Anolis sagrei: one gene and its partners. The protein of the gene in region 3 interacts with the protein of the main gene of each other region in a pairwise test. Links are inferred from orthologs where the notes say so. Each region holds a gene or a part of one and is shown on either strand. Other genes may lie near its edges.

Evidence for each region.
Region 1: the proteins of RGS2 (region 3) and WDR74 interact in a two-hybrid assay, tested with the Homo sapiens proteins (2 studies listed by BioGRID and IntAct). The link is inferred for Anolis sagrei from reciprocal best matches to the Homo sapiens genes RGS2 and WDR74.
Region 2: the proteins of RGS2 (region 3) and NIPSNAP1 interact in a two-hybrid assay, tested with the Homo sapiens proteins (2 studies listed by BioGRID and IntAct). The link is inferred for Anolis sagrei from reciprocal best matches to the Homo sapiens genes RGS2 and NIPSNAP1.

What each region holds. Positions count from the first base shown.
Region 1 is NC_090032.1:12,450,376-12,454,126, forward strand, and holds the start of WDR74 (WD repeat-containing protein 74), read right to left. Parts: upstream 2,279-3,751; 5' UTR 2,232-2,278; coding exon 2,171-2,231; intron 1-2,170. UniProt on the Homo sapiens protein: Regulatory protein of the MTREX-exosome complex involved in the synthesis of the 60S ribosomal subunit. Participates in an early cleavage of the pre-rRNA processing pathway in cooperation with NVL.
Region 2 is NC_090034.1:48,743,447-48,747,197, reverse strand, and holds the start of NIPSNAP1 (protein NipSnap homolog 1), read left to right. Parts: upstream 1-1,151; 5' UTR 1,152-1,186; coding exon 1,187-1,263; intron 1,264-3,751. Other genes in the region: NF2 (merlin), read right to left, coding at 578-637.
Region 3 is NC_090024.1:116,337,864-116,341,614, reverse strand, and holds the start of RGS2 (regulator of G-protein signaling 2), read left to right. Parts: upstream 1-1,213; 5' UTR 1,214-1,283; coding exon 1,284-1,393; intron 1,394-3,751. UniProt on the Homo sapiens protein: Regulates G protein-coupled receptor signaling cascades. Inhibits signal transduction by increasing the GTPase activity of G protein alpha subunits, thereby driving them into their inactive GDP-bound form.

The DNA of each region.
Region 1 (3,751 bases), on a different chromosome or scaffold from region 3:
GGGCTTTTTTGTTGAGTTCCAGGGTCAGAGAAGCAGATGGTGAAGACTGAATAACGGCCTGCCTCAGGGGAGTGTGCTTGCTCCGTCAATGTTTAACATTTACACAAATGACCAGCCACTGCCAGACAGGACAGAAAGTTTCATCTATGCTGATGATCGTGCCATTACCGCTCAAGCAGGGAGCTTAGAAATGGTTGAACAGAAGCTCTCTGAATCTTTAAGAGCTCTTACTGCCTCTTACAGAGAAAACCAGCTGATTCCTAATTCATCTAAAATGCAGACATGTGCTTTTCTCCTTAAGAACAGACAAGCATCGCAAGCTCTGAAGATTACATTGGAAGGAATCATACAGGAGCATTACAGCACATCCAAATACCTGGGAGTCACTCTGGACTGTGCTCTGACTTATAAGAAGCACTGCTTGAATATCATGCAAAAAGTGGGTGCTAGAAACAACACCATGTGAAAGCTAATTGGCAGAACCTTGGGATCACAACCAGACACAGTGAAGACATCTGCCTTTGTGCTCTGCTACTCTGCTGCTGACTACACATGCCCAGTGTGGAACACCAGGCTATTTATTTATCGTGTCAGGAGCAGACCAAACAGTTGCATTGCATTTTTTAACAAATGAACAAACAAAAAAACAAACAAACAAACAAAACACAAAGTTTGCAAGCTTGGTGGTTGATTAAATGTCCTTTGACCAGTATCTGGCCACTTGGAGTGCCTCTGGTGTTGCCGCAAGAAGGTCCTCCATTGTGCATGTGGCAGGGCTCAGGCTGGTCAGCAGGTGGTCAGTGGTTTGCTCTTCTCTGCACTCGCATGTCATGGGTTCCACTTTGTAGCCCCATTTCTTAAGGTTGTCAATTGGTGACTGAGAGCGGATGAGGGAGTCCCCCCTGGGCACACAGAAGACTGGGCGACTTGGAAGGCGCTGAACAGACTGCGTTCTGGCACCACGAGATGCAGAGCCAACCTCAAGAAATGGAGGTACTAAGTGGAGTCCACGAGAAGGTGCATGTGGCAGGGCTCAGGCTGCATTGTTGTAAGTGGCCTGTGGTTTCTCCATATGTGCGAACGTGGAGAAGAAGAAAACACAGACCACTTCCTACACAACCTGGGGATCACAACCAGATACAGTGAAGACATCTGCCCTTGCGCTATGCTACTCTGCTGCTGAGTATGCATGCCCAGTGTGGAACACATCTCACCACACTAAAACAGTAGATGTGGCTCTTAATGAGACATGCCATATTATCACAGGGTGTCTGCGCCCTACACCACTGGAGAAATTACACTGCTTAGCCGGTATTGTACCACCTGACATCCGCCGGGAAGATGCAGCCAATAGTGAAAGTACCAAGGCAGAGACATCTCCAGCTCATCCCCTGTTTGGGTATCAGCCAGCATGTCAACGACTTAAATCTAGAAATAGTTTTCTTAGATCTACAGAGACACTTGCTGGAACACCTCAGCAAGCAAGAGTCCAAAAGTGGCAGGCTCAAACCCAGCACCTCAATCTGTGGGTGATACCAGATGAGAGACTCCTCCTTGGGCACACAGAAGACTGGGCGACTTGGAGGCGCTGAACAGACTGCGCTCTGGCACCACGAGATACAGAGCCAACCTCAAGAAATGGGGCCACAAAGTTTAATCCACGACATGCGAGTGTGGAGAGGAACAAACCACTGACCACCTGCTGCAATGCACCCTGAGCCCTGCCACATGCACAATGGAGGACCTTCTTGTGGCAACACCAGAGGCACTCCAAGGGGCCAGATACTGGTCAAAGGACATTTAATCAGCTACCAAGTTTGCAAAATTTGTGGGGTTTTTTGTTTGTTTTTTATCTGTTTGTTTGTTTTGTTCTGTTAGAAATGTAATACAATGTTCTTGTTGCGGATGACACAATAAATAAATAAATACTTCCTACACTGCAACCTGAGCCCTGCCACATGCACCTTCTCACAGCGACACCAGAGGCACTCCAAGTGGCCAGCTTCTGGTCAAAGCACGTTTAGTACAAGGCCAAGTTCTTAACTTTGTGGTTTGAAATACCTTACAACTGTATCCTCAATTCGCTCCTGACACGCTCAATACAGAAACGCCCTTCTTCCCTCCTCCTCCTTCCTTCCTTCCTTCCCAAGAAGTCCTTGCTCCCGGTTACCTTTCAGGAGGCCCGTCTCGGCGCCCACCCACACGTGGCTCCCCCAGGCAGGAGCCGCCATGACTGCCGCTTCCAGGCACCCGAGCGAGCCGGACGCTTGAGAGTGGCGCACTGCTACGCACCGACGCGCCACCTGATTGGCTGGCCGGCCTCTCCTGGGTGTCACACTCATATCCTTCCCCCGGGAGGCTATTAAGTGCCAAAACGACTTCCTGGAACCAATGCTTGTCTAAGGAGGACGATGTGGCCGGCGCTTTGACCCAGATGTGAGCTCTGGACTCCACTGTCAAGCTGGGGCCTTCAAGCAGGAGGCAAGGGCTGCGCCGACGCTGCACTTTGGCCCTCCCTCCCGCCCTCCCTCCACTGGCATGGCTCAAGGCCAAGGACTCTTAGGAGACCGAGTTCGAGGGGACTCCCAACACTCTCTCTCAAAGGCTTTGTTTTCTTTGCCGACTGTCCAAACGTGATCCAGTCTAAGGAGCAGGAAGGCAGGGAGCAGGCCTGTAGCGAGGGGGTGGTTTTAGGGGTTCAACCCCCCCCCGAAATGTTTCAGATTTTTTTAAAAACCTGGTTTACTCATGAATTTTAACTGGTTAACCAAAACTCCATGCTAAGTCTATGAGATGCAAAAAAATTAAGAGTCTCTCCAGAACTGCAAGCACTATCATCTCAAGCAAATATTGACAATTTATTCACACTGTCATTACTTGCAGGAATAGCCGATGTAGTGAAGCAACCAAGTTGGGTGTGTCTGTATTGAATGTGTCCAGAGGAGGGCGACTAAGAGGGTCTGGAGAACAAGCCCTATGAGGAGCGGCTTAGGGAACTGGGCATGTTTAGCCTGAAGAAGAGAAGGCTGAGAGGAGACATGATAGCCATGTATAAATATGTGAGAGGAAGCCACAGGGAGGAGGGAGCAAGCTTGTTTTCTGCTTCCCTGGAGACTAGGACGCGGAACAATGGCTTCAAACTACAAGAGAGAAGATTCCATCTGAACACAAGGAAGAACTTCCTGACTGTGAGAGCCGTTCAGCAGTGGAACTCTCTGCCCCGGAGTGTGGTGGAGGCTCCTTCTTTGGAAGCTTTTAAGCAGAGGCTGGATGGCCATCTGTCAGGGGTGATTTGAATGCAATATTCCTGCTTCTTGGCAGAATGGGGTTGGACTGGATGGCCCATGAGGTCTCTTCCAACTCTTTGATTCTATGATTCTATGAATGCTCCCATTAAGGAGGCCAGACTTGGTGGAGGTGGTTGACAGGGGCAGAGCTGCAGGCTATTGAAGGCTGCTCTCCCCCCTGCTGTGCTCTTTGCTTCAGTGTGAGCTAAGAGGCTGGTTTCAACCCCCCCCCCCCCCCGTGAAATTTTCAACCCCTCCCGAAAAAGTTTTCTGGCTACGGCCCTGGCAGGGAGGAAGGAGGGGGGAGGGAGAAGGGAGGAAGGAAGAGGTGGAAGGAAGGAAGGAAGGAAGGAAGGAAGGAGGAGGAGGGAGAAGGAGGGAAGAAGGAGAAGGAAAGAAGGAGGGGGAAGGGGAAGGAAGGAAGAGGTGGAAGAAGGAAGGAAGGAAGGAGGTTGGAGGAAGGA
Region 2 (3,751 bases), on a different chromosome or scaffold from region 3:
TTTCTTGTCCTATGAGGGAAATGAATGGGATCATTGATCAATCCGTCCATTAACTGATTAATTGATCAATCCATCAATCAATCAATTGATCAGTCCATCCATTGACTGATTCATCAACTGACTGAAAAAGTGTTTTGTATTGGGAGACCCTTGTCCTATGATTCGTATTGAAGAGTTAGGACAAGGGATCAATCAGTGGATCGATTGGAATAGTTTTAGGGAGGATTGGAAGAGGGAGGAGCCAAACTCTGGCTTGGTTTATTAACAAAGAAAGCTTTATAGGGAAAATGGGGGGAGGGAAGAGTTTCTTTTCCTTCGAGGATATAATAAATATCGATTATCTATTGATTGATTCAAAAAAGGCCACTTATGGGGCATAAACGGCTTTTTTCCAATCTTAAGAGGAGATGAGGGGGAAGGGAGGCCTACGAAAGCCGTTTCCCTCATGTTTTGGGGTAAAAACGGAAGGAAAGGGGGGAAATCAGGGGTGCGGGGGGGTATACGGAACAGCCCCCTGAAAGCGCGGGGGGAGGGAAGGGGGAACAGCCCCCCCGAAGGAAAAGAAATCGGCCCTCACCTCCGCCGCCGGAGCCGGAGCTGCCACTCCTCGTCTCTCCCGCTCCCGATTGGTTGGCATTGGCCACGCCCCCTCAGGAGGCGGGGTTGAGGCCCAACGCTGCCTAGTGGTTGCCTCTCCTCGTCGTTTGCTATTGGTTGTGGAGGGAAAATAGGCCACGCCCCCGAAGAGGCGGAGCGGGCAATTCTTTTCTTTTGGAATCCTATTTTAAGGAGACATAGAGGTGCCTACGAGATGGCTTATGTGTTATACTTCCGGGTGCCGATAGAAAAACGAGGCGCCATTTGCGAGGCGGGAAAATGGAAAGCAACTCTTTCCCCCTCGGCTTTTCAAACGAAACCCGAAGTGTTAGATGTCTGTCTTAAAGGGAAAGGGTAATGAGTGTTCCGATTGGTGCGTTCGCCTGCCATTTGGCCCCCAAAGACCCGCCCTCTCCATAAAGGCCATTGTAATTGGCTGGCTGGGAAAGAGCGCCCCCTCGAGGAAGAAAGGCCGAATGACGTTTGTTGCTAAAGCAAGGCCTCGCGGCCCCGCCCCTCTTGAGACCAAGCCACGCCCCTAAATAAAGGGGCGTGCCCTCCTTCGCCTCCTGGTTCGGAGAGGGAAAAAATGGCTGCTACGCGGAAGCTGGTTTTGGAGGCTCTTCGGGGCAGAGCGGCCTTTTCCTTTTCTAGCCTGGGCTTCCGGTAGGAATATATGTTATATACACATATGTTACATACATGCAGCAATACTCTTAATATGTTTAGGAATAGATTTAATATATTGGGCAATAGTATTAGGAATAGATTTAAATTATATTCAAATAGTTTGACTATATTGGGGAATATATCTGATGTATTTAGGAAACATTAACAACCTCAGATATGCAGATGACACCACTCTGATGGCCGAAAGCGAGGAGGAGCTGAGGAGCCTTCTAATCAAGGTGAAAGAAGAAAGCGCAAAAGCTGGGTTGCAGCTAAACGTCAAAAAAACCAAGATTATGGCAACAAGAATGATTGACAACTGGAAAATAGAGGGAGAAAATGTGGAGGCTGTGATAGACTTTGTATTTCTAGGCGCAAAGATTACTGCAGATGCAGACTGTGGCCAGGAAATCAGAAGACGCTTACTTCTTGGGAGGAGAGCAATGTCCAGTCTCGATAAAATAGTAAAGAGTAGAGACATCAGACTGGAAACAAAGATCCGCCTAGTCCAAGCCATGGTATTCCCTGTAGTAACCTACGGATGTGAGAGCTGGACCTTAGGGAAGGCTGAACGAAGGAAGATAGATGCTTTTGAACTGTGGTGCTGGAGGAAAGTCCTGAGAGTGCCTTGGACTGCAAGAAGATCCAACCAGTCCATCCTCCAGGAAATAAAGCCCGACTGCTCATTGGAGGGAAGGATACTAGAGGCAAAGTTGAAGTACTTTGGCCACATCATGAGGAGACAGCAAAGCCTAGAGAAGGGAATGATGCTAGGGAAAGTGGAAGGCAAAAGGAAGAGGGGCCGACCAAGGGCAAGATGGATGGATGGCATCCTTGAAGTGACTGGGCTGACCTTGAAGGAGCTGGGGGTGGTGACGGCCGACAGGAAGCTCTGGCGTGGGATGGTCCATGAGGTCAAGAAGAGTCGGAGACGACTGAACGAATGAACAACAACAAATTTAGGAATAGATTTAGAAACAGGTGTAATATATGTAGCAATACTTTTAATATATATTATATAATATAAATATATGTAATATATATAGGAATAGATTTAATATATTTAAGGTATTTAGGAATAGATTATACACACACACACACATATATACATATATCAATACTTTTAATGTATCTAGGAATGTAATATATTGAGGAATATGTTTAGGAATAAATTTAATATATATATAGCAATACTTTTAATATATAATATATATTGTATAAATATATATTATATATTTAGGGATATTTCTAATATATTTAGGAATATATATATAATACAGCAATACTTTCAAGGTATTTAGTATCTAATATATTTAGGAATATAAAGTAAAGGTTTCCCCTGACATTAAGTCTAATCGTGTCCAACTCTGGGAGGTTGTGATCATTTCCATTTCTAAGCCGAAGAGCCGGCGCTATCCATAGACATCTCCAAGGTTATGTGGGTGGCATGACTGCATGGAGTGCCATTACCTTCCTGCAGAAGCTGTACCTATTGAACTACTCATATTTGCATATTTTCAAACTGCTAGATTGGCGGAAGCTGGGCCTAACAGCAGGAGCTCACCCCACTCCTCAGATTCGAACCACCAACCTTTCACTCAACAAGTTCAGCAGCTTAGCGGTTTAACCTGGTGTGCCATCAGGGGACCCATTTAGGAATGTATTTAGGAATATGTATTATATATAGAAATGGAGCCCCCGGTGGCGCAGTGGGTTAAAGCACTGAGCTGCTGAGCTTGTTGATTGAAAGGTTGCAGGTTCAATTCTGGGGAGTGGCGTGAGCTTCCGCTGTCAGCCCTAGCTTCTGCCAACCTAGCAGTTCGAAAACATGCAAATGTGAGTAGATCAATAGGTACCGCTCCGGTGGGAAGGTAACGGCGCTCCATGCAGTCATGCCAGCCACATGACCTTGGAGGTGTCTACGGACAACGCTGGCTCTTCGGCTTAGAAATGGAGATGAGCACCACACCCCAGAGTCAGACATGACTGGACTTAATGTCAGGGGACTACCTTTACCTTTTTATAGGAATGCATTTAGGAATATATATATATATATATATATATATATATATATATATATATATATACAGTCTCTCTCTCTCTCTCTCTATATATATAGAGGAATATATCTAATATATTGAGGAATACATTTAATATATATAGCAATACTTTTAATATAATTAGGAATATAAGTGATATACTTAAGAACATATTTAGGAATGTATTTAATATTCCTAAATTATTGCTATATATAGCATTACTTTTAATATATTTAGGAATATATCTAATATATTTAGAAATATATTTTATATATATTGCAATACTTTGAATGTTTCCTTTCTCTGTATCAAAGTTAATGAATGGCCCGCTTCAGGCCAAAGGTTTCACCCAAGGCCAATGGGGGTGCATTTCTACTTGATTTTATGTTATGTTTATATTATTCCTAGCTTTTATTATTACTTTATAATATAATATTATTATAGTA
Region 3 (3,751 bases):
TTCGTTGTGTGTATATACATGTATATACAAACAATCTACAAACCCACCAAGAAAATCCAACAAATGCTACGTTCAGCAAAGGACAAGAGGGATCCTCTCACCTCTGCAGGAGTCTACCGTGTACCATGCAGCTGTGGACAAGTCTACATAGGGACCACCAAACGCAGCATCGCCCAGACACGCATGAAGGAACATGAAAGGCACTGCAGACTACTTCAACCAGAGAAGTCAGCCATAGCAGAGCACCTGGTGAACCAACCTGGACACAGCATATTATTTGAGAACACAGAAATGCTGGACCACTCCAACAACCACCATGTCAGACTACACAGAGAAGCCATTGAAATACACAAGCATGTGGACAATTTCAACAGAAAGGAGGAAACCACGAAAATGAACAAAATCTGGCTACCAGTATTAAAAAAAATCTAAAATTGCAACAGCAAAAACAGCAGAGAGAAAAACAGGCAGGGACATCTAATCACCTTTCAAGAAGAGTTTGCTCCAGGCACAGTCAGCCCATTGTATGCTAATCAAGGTGGTCAGTTGAAAGATCCACACCTAGCCCAACTTACAAAAGCCCTTTGTCTCACCCTGGTCATTCCACAGATATATAAACCCTTTTTTCCCCAGTTTCAGCAGACCTCACCTCTGAGGAAGCTTGCCATAGATGCAGGCGAAACGTCAGGAGAAATGCCTCTAGAACATGGCCATATAGTCCGAAAAAACCCACAAGAACTGAGTGATTCCGGCCATGAAAGCCTTCGACAATACATTAAAATTACATTTTTATTTATATAGAGATATGCATGCACATTTATATATAAATATATATATAAATATTTATATAAAAATAATTATATATATAAATGCATGCACATTTATATATAAATATATAAATATAAATAAACACACACATATATATGTAAATTATATATATATTCATGCACATTTCTAATTCTCAGTCATGTCCCCAGTTTGCAGGCGACTCCTCGTGAGGTCTATTTTTTGCCACAAACAGCAACTCAAAAGACAAAAAAAAAAGGGCAAGAGGGAGAGAGGCGCGCGCCACCTACGTCAACGCTGTTCTCCTGAGGACGCGGGGCTCGCGCGCTCCTTGTTTGGGGAGGCCTCCCTCGGCGCAGCCAATCAGCGATCCGGGGGAGGGAGGTGGGCGTCTCCCTCCCAGCCCTCCGCCTCTATAAAAGGACCAGCCGGGCGGAGGGGAGGCTCAAAGCGTGGTCGCCAACCTTGGAAGCTTGCTGGATTTCCTTGCGGGGATTATGCAGAGTGCAATGTTCCTGGCTCTCCAGCACAACTGCAGCACGATGGAGAAAAACGCCAGCCTCTGCCCGAGCAAAGAGGAGAAAAAGGGGAAGATGAAGAAAACTCTGTAAGTGTGCAGGAGGGGGAGATGGGAAGGGGCTTCCAAATGCTGACATAGCGACTAAAATGATCAAGGGTCTGGAGAACAAGCCCTATGAGGAGCGGCTTAGGGAACTGGGCATGTTTAGCCTGAAGAAGAGAAGGCTGAGAGGAGATATGATAGCCATGTATAAATATGTGAGAGGAAGCCACAGGGAGGAGGGAGCAAGCTTGTTTTCTGCTTCCTTGGAGACTAGGACGCGGAACAATGGCTTCAAACTACAAGAGAGGAGATTCCATCTGAACATGAGGAAGAACTTCCTGACTGTGAGAGCCGTTCAGCAGTGGAACTCTCTGCCCCGGAGTGTGGTGGAGGCTCCTTCTTTGGAAGTGTTTAAACAGAGGCTGGATGGCCATCTGTCAGGGGTGATTTGAATGCAATATTCCTGCTTCTTGGCAGGGGGTTGGACTGGATGGCCCATGAGGTCTCTACCAACTCTTTGATTCTATGATTCTATGATAGCAACTAATGCGGGGTCAGTCAACTTGAGAAACTGCAAGTCGCTTCTGGTGTGAGAGAATTGGCTGTCTGCAGGGAGGTTACCCAGGGGACACCCAGAGATTCCATCTGAACATGAGGAAGAACTTCCTGACTGTGAGAGCCGTTCAGCAGTGGAACTCTCTGCCCTGGAGTGTGGTGGAAGCTCCTTTGGAGGTTTTTAAGTAGATGGCTATCTGTCAGGGATGCTTTCAATGCAATATTCCTGCTTCTTGGCAGGGGGTTGGACTGGATCTGTAGTGTAGATGCACCTCAAACAGCCCGAACAGGGTTGTGGTTGATAGCAGGACAGCCTGTGGCATGTTGGGGACCAATTTGGAAAATCCTATTTTAAGATACAGTTGGGAAAGGTCAGGTTTGTTGTTGCCAAACTCCTTTGCTGCAAAGTAAACCCAGGAGAAAGAATAGCTCTGGATCTGGTTGGGAGGGATTGAGTTACCTGCATCATATTTGCAGCCAATCTGTATTTCACAACTTGGGGTGCTTTTGCTGTATTCAGGCCCCTTCCACACAGCTGAATAAAATCCCACATTTTCTGCTTTGAAGTGTGGACTCGGATAACCCAGATCAAAGCAGATATTGTGGGATTTTCACCCTTGATATTCTGGGAGATAGAACCAAAGAGTTGGAAGAGACCTCATGGGCCATCCAGTCCAACCCCCTGCCAAGAAGCAGGAATATTGCATTCAAATCACCCCTGACAGATGGCCATTCAGCCTCTGTTTAAAAGCTTCCAAAGAAGGAGCCTCCACCACACTCTGGGGCAGAGAGTTCCACTGCTGAACGGCTCTCACAGTCAGGAAGTTCTTCCTCGTGTTCAGATGGAATCTCTGGGCGTCTCCTGGGTAACGTCCTTGCAGACGACCAATTCTCTCACACCAGAAGCGACTTGCTGTTTCTCAAGTTGCTCCTGACACGACAAAAAAGAAGAAGATGGAATTTCCTCTCTTGTAGTTTGAAGCCATTGTTCCGCGTCCTAGTCTGCAGGGAAGCAGAAAACAAGCTTGTTCCCTCCTCCCTATGAATTCCTCTCATGTATTTATACATGTCTCCTCTCACTCTTCTCTTCTTCAAACTAAATATGTCCAGCTTTTTAAGCCACTCTTCACAGGGCTACTTCCAAGCTCAAAGGAGTTACTTGGAGGGCAGAGAGTCCCTTGTAAAATCTTGCAGTTTAACTAAAGATTGCACCTCTTTGTAGAGATAGGGTTGATCCTTGGATTGTCGAAGGCTTTCATGGCCGGAATCACTGGATGTTGTAGGTTTTTTCGGGCTATATGGCCATGGTCTAGAGGCATTTTCTCCTGACGTTTCGCCTGTATCTATGGCAAACATCCTCAGAGGTAGTGAGGTCTGTTGGAAGTAGGAAAATGGGTTTATATATCTGTGGAATGACCAGGGTGGGACAAAGGACTTTTTTCTGCTGCAGCTAGGTGTGAATGTTTCAACTGACCACCTTGATTAGCATTTGATTGTCTGGCAGTACCTGGAGCAATCCTTTGTTGAGAGGTGATTAGATGTCCTTGTTTGTTTCCTCTCTGTTGTTGCACTGTTCTAATTTTAGAATTTTTTTTAATAATGATAGCCAGATTTTGTTCATTTTCTAATCACCAGAACACCTGGGGACCCACAGGTTGAGAACCACTGTTCTAGAGGCATTCTCTCCTGACGTTTTGCCTGCATCTATGGCAAGCATCCTCAGGCGAAATGTCAGGAGAGAATGCTTCTAGAACATGGCCATATAGCCCGAAAAAACCTACAACAACCCAGTGATTCCAGCCATAAAAGCCTTCGACAATACATTGTAATATTGATAGTTTCTTTTTA